Linked DNA regions of Coturnix japonica. The protein of the gene in region 1 purifies or fractionates together with the protein of each later gene. This does not show direct contact. Links are inferred from orthologs where the notes say so. Each region holds a gene or a part of one and is shown on either strand. Other genes may lie near its edges.

The links. Proteins that work in one complex are often made in the same cells at the same time.
Region 2: the proteins of CD44 (region 1) and FGFR1 purify together in Homo sapiens (affinity purification with mass spectrometry; 3 studies listed by BioGRID and IntAct, counting the BioPlex papers as one, with this or other methods). This does not show direct contact. The link is inferred for Coturnix japonica from reciprocal best matches to the Homo sapiens genes CD44 and FGFR1.
Region 3: the proteins of CD44 (region 1) and ERBB2 purify together in Homo sapiens (affinity purification with western blotting; 3 studies listed by BioGRID and IntAct, with this or other methods). This does not show direct contact. The link is inferred for Coturnix japonica from reciprocal best matches to the Homo sapiens genes CD44 and ERBB2.

The regions. Positions count from the first base shown.
Region 1 is NC_029520.1:5,850,668-5,854,167, forward strand, and holds part of CD44 (CD44 antigen), read right to left. Parts: intron 2,335-3,500; coding exon 2,118-2,334; 3' UTR 1-2,117. UniProt on the Homo sapiens protein: Cell-surface receptor that plays a role in cell-cell interactions, cell adhesion and migration, helping them to sense and respond to changes in the tissue microenvironment.
Region 2 is NC_029537.1:3,713,989-3,717,488, forward strand, and holds part of FGFR1 (fibroblast growth factor receptor 1), read right to left. Parts: intron 2,750-3,500; coding exon 2,486-2,749; intron 1,847-2,485; coding exon 1,763-1,846; intron 1,519-1,762; coding exon 1,343-1,518; intron 659-1,342; coding exon 535-658; intron 38-534; coding exon 1-37. UniProt on the Homo sapiens protein: Tyrosine-protein kinase that acts as a cell-surface receptor for fibroblast growth factors and plays an essential role in the regulation of embryonic development, cell proliferation, differentiation and migration.
Region 3 is NC_029542.1:3,928,568-3,932,067, forward strand, and holds the end of ERBB2 (receptor tyrosine-protein kinase erbB-2), read left to right. Parts: intron 1-17; coding exon 18-156; intron 157-225; coding exon 226-348; intron 349-422; coding exon 423-521; intron 522-591; coding exon 592-777; intron 778-845; coding exon 846-1,001; intron 1,002-1,075; coding exon 1,076-1,151; intron 1,152-1,224; coding exon 1,225-1,371; intron 1,372-1,445; coding exon 1,446-1,543; intron 1,544-1,616; coding exon 1,617-1,787; intron 1,788-1,911; coding exon 1,912-2,167; intron 2,168-2,239; coding exon 2,240-2,583; 3' UTR 2,584-3,119; downstream 3,120-3,500. UniProt on the Homo sapiens protein: Protein tyrosine kinase that is part of several cell surface receptor complexes, but that apparently needs a coreceptor for ligand binding. Essential component of a neuregulin-receptor complex, although neuregulins do not interact with it alone.

The sequences.
Region 1 (3,500 bases):
AAGAAGAGGAAAAATTCTTATTCTGGATCTCCGCACCTAGAGAAATACGTATGTAACACCAGTTTAAACACAGCCTTCAATCAATCATCTTCATTTATAATGACAGATAGAAAAGCTTGCCTTAAAACCTTACAAGAATTAAACAAAACCCAATGCAGACTGTCAACAGACTTTGCACAGCTCAGTATTGAAATATGTGACTATGGTTGGGCAGAGGTTTGACAGTGGGCCTCATGTACTGACAGCGTACATTGCCTTATCCTTATTGGCTTTGGCTTGTGTGAGCACTCTTGGACTGCTCACAGAAGAGACATACACAGAGTCAGAAAGCATCCTATATGTACACTGAAATCACACCTCATCTTGGGACCTTTTGCCAAGGTGCACATTTTCCCTGAGGAGATCTGCCCGCAGATTCCAGGGCTCCAAGCCACTCGATGGAATGCTTGGGAAACTGCTGAAGGGCTGTAAACTTAGAACCACAATCATGATTTTCATTTTGTTTGGTGTTATAGTAAAGACCAGTGCTAGTTAATGTTACTATGCAGCCAGCTGAAAACTCATCCTCTGCACTGCTTCAGATGGAGAACACCAAATAACATACATTAGCAAAGTGAATTCCAGCGCAGGTGCTGTGGTCAGGGAGCAGATACCTCTGAACATCTCTTAGCAAACGTTCCCCATCCCAGCCAACACAGACCTTGCTGCTTGCAGTCACTTCTGGTTGGTTTTACTTGCATTTTTCTGAGGCAGCCCAATTAGAAGTTATTCTCCACTCCAATATGCTTTCTTAAAGATGGCACAGATCACTGGTAGTAAATCATTTTCTTCCTGGCAGTTCATATGAATACAATGCGCAGCATCATAGCTTAATACAAATACTTCACATAACAGACATAGAAGGACAAAACAGAAGAGCATGATGATGCAGCTGCAACTATTTTACTATATTACATTACTGGGTGGTGAGTTTCCTTAAAATTTCATTGATCTATTCTGTAAAATTTCAACTTCTTTTACCGATAAACTAAGTTTTTCTTTTGGCATTTTGGGCTAGAAGAAGTAAAAAGTGGATGAAACAGAAATCAGAAGTGAGCAATGTCATATATAACTAACTTTCAAAATACTGGCAAACTGGTGCAATACAACAATCATGGGAGAAACAAGATTTGGGCTCAGCATCTCCTAAGTAAAAATGGAGCAGGGGAAGAGAAAGACCTATTCATCAGGAATAAAAATACTGTCGTCATGTCTGATGGCTTCCAATTGCTTGATTTGTGCACGCACAATAGATCTAGGGTCATACTGCTTTATTAATTTTACTAGCTGACTTCTTAAAAAACATACACGAACTGTGATCTGTGAAGGAGGGGGTGGGGAAGAGCCATGGACACCTTGGAAACTCAAGGATATATGTACAGATTGTTAAGACAACAAAGAAGACAAGTTTATTATGCATCAGCTCACGTTTTCCTCACTTTGTTTCCCCTCCCAAAAAATCCTGCTGCGTGCCCACAGACATTTTAAAATAGAGATAAATAAACTTTATCCTTCTGGGTTTCACTTGTTACAGACCAAGTCATCAATCATTACAAAACGTTAATTTTTGCTTTTACTGGCAGACTTTGAATGCACCTTGCACTCTTCCTGGCTGGTAGGCATTGCTGGTGGATTCTGCTGGGTTAGGCATAGTATAGGAGGCACTTCTGTTTTAAGTCTTTTCAATTTTGGCTTTTAACATCTGTTACTCACTTACTGCTGTACCATGACAAGCTTAGTACCTTAAATGCCTATAACATGGAGCAACTGGGTGCTTCTGTATCTCCGCACAGTGAAGGCACTGCATCTGGGGAACAATGGCATGCCACATGTCCAGGATCCAGAAAGCGCCCTCTATGTGCAAATTGGGAACTGACTGCAACACTTGGGGCTTATTTCAGAAAGCAAATGTCAATTTTGTAACTCGGACATCATGCTAAAATAATTAAAAATGAAGAATATTTTAAGCTTAATCGTGTTCAAACGACATCAGTAGCACAGTGCATCTGTGAATTCCTGCCCAAGGTCCGTGTGATTTTGATTTCCCCAACACTGATCTATTTGGTGACTTCATACCGCTACACTCCACTCTTCATGTCAACATCCTGATGATTCTGTGTTTCATCAACGGTGAGGAATTCATCACATGCTCCTGTTTGGTCATTCGACTGTTCTTTGTGAACCAAGTGCACCATTTCTTGTGATTTGCTGGCGTCTCCATTTAATTCTCTTGTCTTCCTGTCCTCCACTGCACCTTTGCCATTATTAATGACTAGCTTTTTCTTCTGCCCACATCTAGATCAAAATAAAAAGAATATGAGTACCATAAGTGGAGAGTAGTGGAAATACAAAAACAAAATTCAAGTAAGTATTTAGGAAAAGGATCCTGGAAATGAAACTTGTCTGCAAAGTGCACAGTTTCTCCATGTTGTGTATTTTATTTATTTATTTTATTTAGGAGCTTTGTATATATCCCACTATACAGACAGAATAATTCCAAATCCAGACTCAGGATCAAGATCCAACAGCTGAGTGTTCACTGAACGCACACAGCATAGTTCTCTTAAGACGGACACCAACTTTTAAATTTGTACTGTAAAAGTGTTTTTGGCAAAGCAGGCTTTGCCTGAATGACTAATCTGGCAGTTAAGTATCACTTTTATTCATGCTTACTGACTGATAACTGAGAGCTTTTTTATCCAAGGGAGCTCAGTTTGCTGTATAAATGTTGAGTGCACACTTGGGAACAATTCCTGCTCTGCAGCCATGAAATGCAGAGAGAACACAGGCTTTCAAAAGAGCAACTCAGATTTTCTTTACTGAAATGATGGTCAGTGCACAAATTTGGGACTGCATGGAGATCCTAGCTCTTTTGGCAACAGGCATCGTACAGAGGCAGTCTTCTTTGCAACATGAAGAATAATGAAGACATAATCAAACAAGTAAACTGCCCTGCACTGAACAACCTTGTGCAATTGGTTTGGTTTTTGTTTTAAGATAACATCTGTTTTTATTAAGACAACAACAATTAAACGTAGAAAAAAATTAATAAAAAAAACCAATTCCACAACACCAAAAACACTATGATGAAGCAATCTGCAATTCACTGAGAAGGACCAATTGCTTTGTGTAGGTGCTTGAGATCGCTGCCATGCTGATGTTGTAACAAATTTGCAGTTCTCACTTTTAAGTAAATTAACGCTTAGAACATTCCCACCCCACCACCCAGCTAACCCTACCCGAGTCTGCAGCAGGTTAGTGCTTATCAGAACAAATGAATCTCTTGTTTATTTGATCTTGCTAAAGCAAGAGAAAACATTCCACCTGTTTCAAGCATACTAGATGACATCCCTACTTGAAAAATTATTCCCTAGGGATTGGTGTATGCTGCTAGGGTCTGATCCACGATTTCATACTCACACCCACACGCACTGTCTCTCCTTGGGTCTCACTCCCAGCTG
Region 2 (3,500 bases), on another chromosome or scaffold:
AGCCCTGCCTGCAGGATGGGCCGGTGCGGGGAGCGCTCTGCAGGGATGGAGGGATGGGGACCTCAGCACGAGCAACCCACATCCACAGGGGTCTCATCCCAAAGGGGTCTCATCCCACAGCCCCACAGAGCCAGGTGACATCCCAGCACAGGGACATTGCTATCTATTCAAGGGCCAGAGGTCAAACAAACCTAATGAGGGCCCCAGCCGCTGCCACTGTGGTGAGTCAGCATTAACAAACCCCTTTGTTCACCTCGCTGACTGTTCCCTTCAGTTTGCTCAGTGTAATCAAATTAAATCACATTCTTAATGGTTCATTTACTGGCATTTAGAGCAACTCCACATGTGGAACTGCTCAGACCAGCCTTCCCAGCTGGGAATTATGGCTAATAAGGCGATTAGAAAAAGTTTCTGTCTGGTCTATGAAATTACTTCCATCACAATTAAAAAGCCCCAGAAGGGTTCGAGGTGAACCTCGTGGGCGCAGCACCCACTGCTGTGTGGGAGGCAGAGCAGCCCCAGCACCATCCTCACCCACAACATCCAGCTGGTAGGTGTGGTTGATGCTCCCATATTTGTTCTCCACGATGCACGTGTAGTTGCCCTTATCTGATGGCACCACCGAGTCCATGATGATGCTCCACGTGGCATAGCGGACCTGGGGCAAAAGGATGGGGGTGGTGGGTGAGATGTGTGCACATCAGAGCATCTCAGCCCATTGGCACAGCATAAATCTTTTCATGGTCAACTTTCCCCTCTCCTACAGAGGGACCATAATTGCTCCCACCTGTCCCAGGAGCACCACCCTGAGTGGCACAAAGGGAACAGCACCCACATCCATGTTCTGATGGCACGCTGGCAATGCCCAAAGCCTTGAGCTTCCATCCCATTCTCCACCAGGGCTCTGCACACAGATGGGGAGCACCAGCACCCTGCTGCCCTGGGGGGCACATTGAGCCCAAACACTCCAGGCTGCACCAAGGCTCTGTAAGCAGAGCAGCTCTTCTTCATCCTCCTTCTCCCACAGTGCAGTGCTGGATGTGGGAGTTGTGCGGTGCTCCCAGGGCTGCCCCGACCATCCTGGCTCAGCTCTGGGATTAGTGCAGCCAGGCTGGGCTCATCCCCCTCCCCTCCCCCAAAGGTTAAGGCTGCTGCAAACATGACCAAGAAGCAGGTCACTGCCGTGGGTCTATTTTGCAACAGGAATGTCAGGGGGCCCATCTGCCCTTCCAGAGGCACGCGGCTGCACCAATGGGCGGCTCGGGGCCTCTGAAACCCATTCATTTCCCCTCCTCCCACATTGACCCCCAGGCATTGACCACACGGATTGACCACTCTGTACCTTGTACCCCCCAATGCGGTGGTCAGGTTTGAACTCCTTGCCATTCTTCAGCCAGCGCAGTGTGGGGTTGGGCGTCCCACCTGAGGGGCACTTGAATTTCACTGTTTTGGCAGCAGGGACGGCATGCAGCTTCTTCTCCATCTTCTCGGGATAGGTCCAGTAAGGAGCTACAGCCTCTGCAGGGCACAAAGCAGCAGGATCAGCCACAGGGAGCACTGATGTTTGCTCATGGTTAACATAGGGCAGGACTGGGGTGAGGCGCACATATCCCTGGTACATCCCCACACCCCAACCAGGCTCCACCAGGGCTGCAGCAGGACTCTGCCTCTCCTCTCCTGTCTCTCAGCCCCTGGATGCCGCTCACATGCACACCTGGCTTCCCTTCACCCCCACCCATAGGCAAACCCAACCCACACGTACGGTTTGGCTTGGTGTTATCTGCCTCCTTCTCCTCCGAGGAGGAATCGTCTTCATCATCATCATCCTCTGCAGAAGGGAGCGCATCTACAAGAGAAGAGACCCCCAGCTCATAACATTGCACAGACCCCTCCTGTTCTCCTGTGCACCGTGCTGACACATGGCATGAGGCCCTGAGAGAACACTGCATGGCTGGAGCACAGAGCTCAGGGAGCAGTTTGCCCCCAAGGCTGACTTTGGGCACAGGAAAGCAGTGCCCACACTGTGCTGCCAGGCACATCGGGACACCCATCCATCCGGGGTCCTGCAAACAGAGGAAGCCCCGACCCTCAGTCAGCCCTCATTCCTCACCACTGTGCTTCAGATCCACCAAAGAAAACCTCAGCTCCAGCTCACCCGGTGCTCAGTTCCATGCAGACTCACATGTCCCCACACATGCATTGCCACCGTGGAAGAACACTCATGGACTCAATGGGTGCAGAGGGTGCTGGCCACCAACTGTGCAGCTCTGAGCAGAAAACCCAGCAATGCTGACCCCGCTGCAGTGCTTTGTGTTGATACATCCCCACGCTGAGCCATTAGGGCACAACCACCCCATATTGCACAAAGTTGGTGGCGCATCCCATGCGTGCAGGGCTGCACCCCACTGAGCTTGGCAGCCAGCATGCAAGGCGTGCACACAGGCACACTGCTCCTCGGTGCTGCCCCCCTGGCACCGCTACGAACCTGAGACGTTGACGGAGAAGTAGGTGGTCTCACTCCCTGAGGGGCTGTTGGTCATGCAGGCATAGAGCCCTGAGTCCTCGGGCACCGCATCCCGCACCTCTACCTCCTCTCCAGTGATGCGCGTGCGGTTGTTCTCAGGCAGCTGAACTCCATCACGCACCCAGTTGATGCTCTGCACGTCATCGCGCAGCCGGCAGCGCAGCTGGAGGAGGTCGCCAGGGTGAGCAGAGTGGGATTCCACCTCGATGTTGGCTTTGGGCAGAGCTGGAGGAGTTTGGGAGAGAGGAAGAAAAGGAGAAAAAAAAGAAAAGAAATAGAGACAACGGGACACCAGGCTGCTGAGGGCTGGGTTAATCAGGCAACATGCGCTGCGGGATATTGGCTGAGGGACAGGGGTGGACCCTGAGCACAGCCACACTGAAAGCAACCAAAGCAGCCCCAAGGCACAGCCGTGGAGCCCAAAGCTACGCAAGCGCCTTCAGTCTCCTGCCAAGCGCTGCAGAAGGGGGTTGAGATGGGGAGGAATTTGCAACCTGAGGCACACTGGGCAGAGCTGGCAGCAGGGCAGGATGAGGAGCACCAAACCCTGCACGGCTCGACCCCAGGGTCTCCCTGCCCAGCAGCAGACAGCCAGCAAAGCAGGCCGGGACCCCCTGGCTCAGCACCAGGCGGTTACAGGGCTATGCTGGGGCAGCAGGCAGAGAGCAGGGCTCAGTGACAGTGCTGGAAGCTCAGCCTGGGGGCTGCAGACAGGTGGGGGCTGTCGGGTGCTCCCTGCCCGTAGCCATCCTGCGACGTCCTTCCATCAGCACAATGATCCAATCCATCCCAGCACTGTTCTCTCCTGGTCATCGATGTTGTTTTCTCCTCACCCTGCGGTGCTGCATGAGGATCCTGCACTGGGTGCAACCATCTGGGTTCCCAGCAATCCCTCCCAGTGCTCACACTCAGCCTGGTGCACTGTCTGCCCTCCTTCCTGTGTCAGCTCTGCTCGCACACCTCTGCTGCTATCTCC
Region 3 (3,500 bases), on another chromosome or scaffold:
CACCTCCCGTCCTGCAGCCAGGTGACATCCATCATTGCTGGTGTGGTGGGGGCTCTGCTGGTCGTCGTCCTTCTGCTCATCACCGTCGTCTGCGTCAAGCGCCGGCGGCAGCAGGAGAGGAAACACACCATGAGGCGGCTGCTGCAGGAGACTGAGGTGGGGGGGCTGGATGACCCTGGGGGGGGCTCAGAGTGTTGTCCCTCCTCACCCACTTGTCCCTCGCAGCTGGTGGAGCCGCTGACGCCCAGCGGGGCCCTCCCCAACCAAGCACAGATGCGCATCCTCAAGGAGACGGAGCTGAAGAAAGTGAAGGTTTTGGGCTCCGGCGCTTTCGGCACTGTCTATAAGGTGAGGGGTGGGAGGCACAGTCAGTGGGATGGCACCATCTGTGTCCTCACTCACCGCCCCCCCACCCCCCATAGGGCATCTGGATCCCCGATGGGGAGAGCGTGAAGATCCCGGTGGCCATCAAGGTGTTGCGGGAGAACACATCACCCAAAGCCAACAAGGAGATCCTGGATGTGAGTGCAGGGGAGGTGGGCACGGGGCTGGGGAGTCGGTGCCAACCTGACCTATCTGTGCTGCCTGCAGGAAGCCTATGTGATGGCCGGGGTGGGCAGCCCCTACGTGTCGAGGCTGCTGGGCATCTGCCTGACCTCCACGGTGCAGCTGGTGACGCAGCTGATGCCCTACGGCTGCTTGTTGGACTATGTGAGGGAGAACAAAGACCGCATCGGATCCCAGGACCTGCTCAACTGGTGTGTGCAGATCGCCAAGGTAAGAGAGGGGGCTGCTGAGGGGCTGTGGGGGGGATGTAGATGTGGGGCTTAACGCCTGCTGCCCAGGGGATGAGCTACCTGGAGGAGGTGAGGCTGGTGCACCGTGACCTGGCTGCTCGCAACGTCCTGGTCAAGAGCCCCAACCATGTCAAAATCACCGACTTCGGGCTGGCACGGCTGCTGGATATCGATGAGACCGAGTACCACGCAGATGGGGGCAAGGTGGGACATGGGGACGGGGCAACAGGGAGCGCGGTGTCCCCTGAGGGTCCCGCTCACTCCTCCCACCCACCCAGGTCCCCATCAAGTGGATGGCGTTGGAGTCCATCCTGCGCCGGCGCTTCACCCACCAGAGCGATGTCTGGAGCTACGGTGCGTCCCTATGGTGGCTGTGGGGGGCAGGGGGTCCCAAACCAGCACTTACCCCACATCCCCATGTCCTCAGGTGTCACCGTGTGGGAGCTGATGACCTTCGGGGCGAAACCTTACGATGGGATCCCGGCACGAGAGATCCCCGACCTGCTGGAGAAAGGCGAGCGGCTGCCGCAGCCGCCCATCTGTACCATCGATGTCTATATGATCATGGTGAAATGTGAGTGGGGGGGACATGGGGACGTGGGGGCCAGGACCCCAACGCCGCCCTCACGGTGCTCGGCTCTGCCCCAGGCTGGATGATCGACTCCGAGTGCCGGCCCAAGTTCCGTGAGCTGGTCACCGAGTTCTCCCGCATGGCCCGCGACCCCCAGCGCTTTGTGGTCATCCAGGTAATGGGGTCTCAGGGGGGTCTCGCCTTCAGCATTGCCCCAACGGGCACTGACAGCCCCCCCTGACCCCCAGAACGACATGATCGGGCTGCCCAGCAACATGGACAGCACCTTCTACCGGGCGCTGCTGGAGGAGGAGGACATGGACGACCTGGTGGATGCTGAGGAATACCTGGTCCCTCACCAGGGCTTCTTCAGTGCTGAGACCTCCACCGCGTACCGCAGCCGTATCTCCTCCACGCGGGTAAGGGCTGACCTGGGGCATCGTGCTGCTGCAGGGCGCACAGGGTGCAAGTTCTCTAATGCCACCCACAGACCCTATAGACCCCACAGCACCGTGCCCGACTCCGTGCCCTTTGCCTCCTCAGAGCACAGCAGAGACCCCAGCTGACACGACAGAGGGGGAGGAATCAGCCGCCTTCCCCTTCCCACCGCAGAACCTGGTGGAGGGGTCAGAGTGCCCCGTGTCGGAGGCTCTGGAGGTGGATGTTGGGGCCAAGGGAGCCCTGCCGAGCCCCCCAGCCACACGGTACAGTGAGGACCCCACCGCGCTGCCGGGGGATGAGAGTGAAGGTCTGGACCCTGAGGGCTTCACCACCCCAGCCCCACATACCACTATGCCAGGTAGGGCAATATAGGACCCTGGGGAGGGGGGCAAGGACCCTGTTTGGCTGCTGACATCCCTTTTCCCTGCAGAGTACGTGAATCAGGCTGGGGAGCTGCCGTCACCCCCCCGGCTCCCCTGTGCACCACCATCCCCACCAGACAAGCCCAAGGGCCACCAAGGCAAGAACGGGCTCATCAAGGACACCAAGCATCCCTTCCTGGGGCCCTTTGGCCACGCCGTGGAGAACCCCGAGTACCTGGCCCCCCCGGGGCTGCCGGTCCCCACAGCCTTCAGCCAGGCCTTCGACAACCCCTACTACTGGAACCAGGACCCCCCCAAAGCTGGGAGCCCTGAGGGTGGGCCCAGCTCCACGCCAGCAGCTGAGAACCCGGAGTACCTGGGTTTGGCTGAGCCTGAGGACGTGGCTGTGTAGGGCAGGGCCACATACGGACCCCCCCCTTTCACCGAGGCAGCTTGGGGAGGGACGGCACGAGGCCGGCGATGGATGTGGGGGCAGGACTGTCCCCAATCATGGGGGTGCCCTATACTGCAGGAGAGCATAGAGCACTGTGAGACGGCGCAGCAGCACAGGGGGGGGCACAGAGGACCCCCAAAAGGAGCCCCAAAGCCCCACTGAGATGGATGCTCCAACCCCACACGGTTCCTGGAGGAAGAAGAGCAGCATCAACAGGACCGGGAGCCCCATCACCCTGCTCCCCATCACCATACACCTATATACACCTGTATACACCCTGGATACACCTGGACCACGCTGCTGCTGTCCCAGAGCCCCCCACCACCCCTGTGCCCCCAGCCCCCTCCCCACCGGCGCCCAGCAGCGCTGGACACATTGACTTGCACTGAGCAGGTGGACACGGGGCTGCCTGGGCTCCTGCTGGGTTCCCGTTAAGCTGACAGTGTCACCTGGATGTATATTTCATCATTGTAGATGGTTTTTTTTCTACTCCACTTTGTCTGCGTGGTTTGCTCCCATCTCCTCCATCTGCTGCTCTCACTGCAGGGAAAGCCCTGATAGCCAAGAATGGGGCAGCTGCCCTAATCCTGCTTTCATTGCCTGGATCCCCCCCATGCTCTGCAGGGACACAGGGGAAGAGGAGCCACGTTTACCTCCATCCTTTATTCAGCGCTGGGCCCACAGACAGTACATCATAAATAGGGGATGGGCACCAATAGGGGATGGGCACCATTCTGCCACGCTGCCCTGGGCTCAGCTGCCCCAAGGGCAGAGTCATGATGTGGGGAGGGGGAGAGCCGGGAGCCTGGGAACGGGGCAGCAGGGGAAGCTCGTGGCTGTTCAATGAACCCTGGGGCTGTGGGGATGGAGCCAAG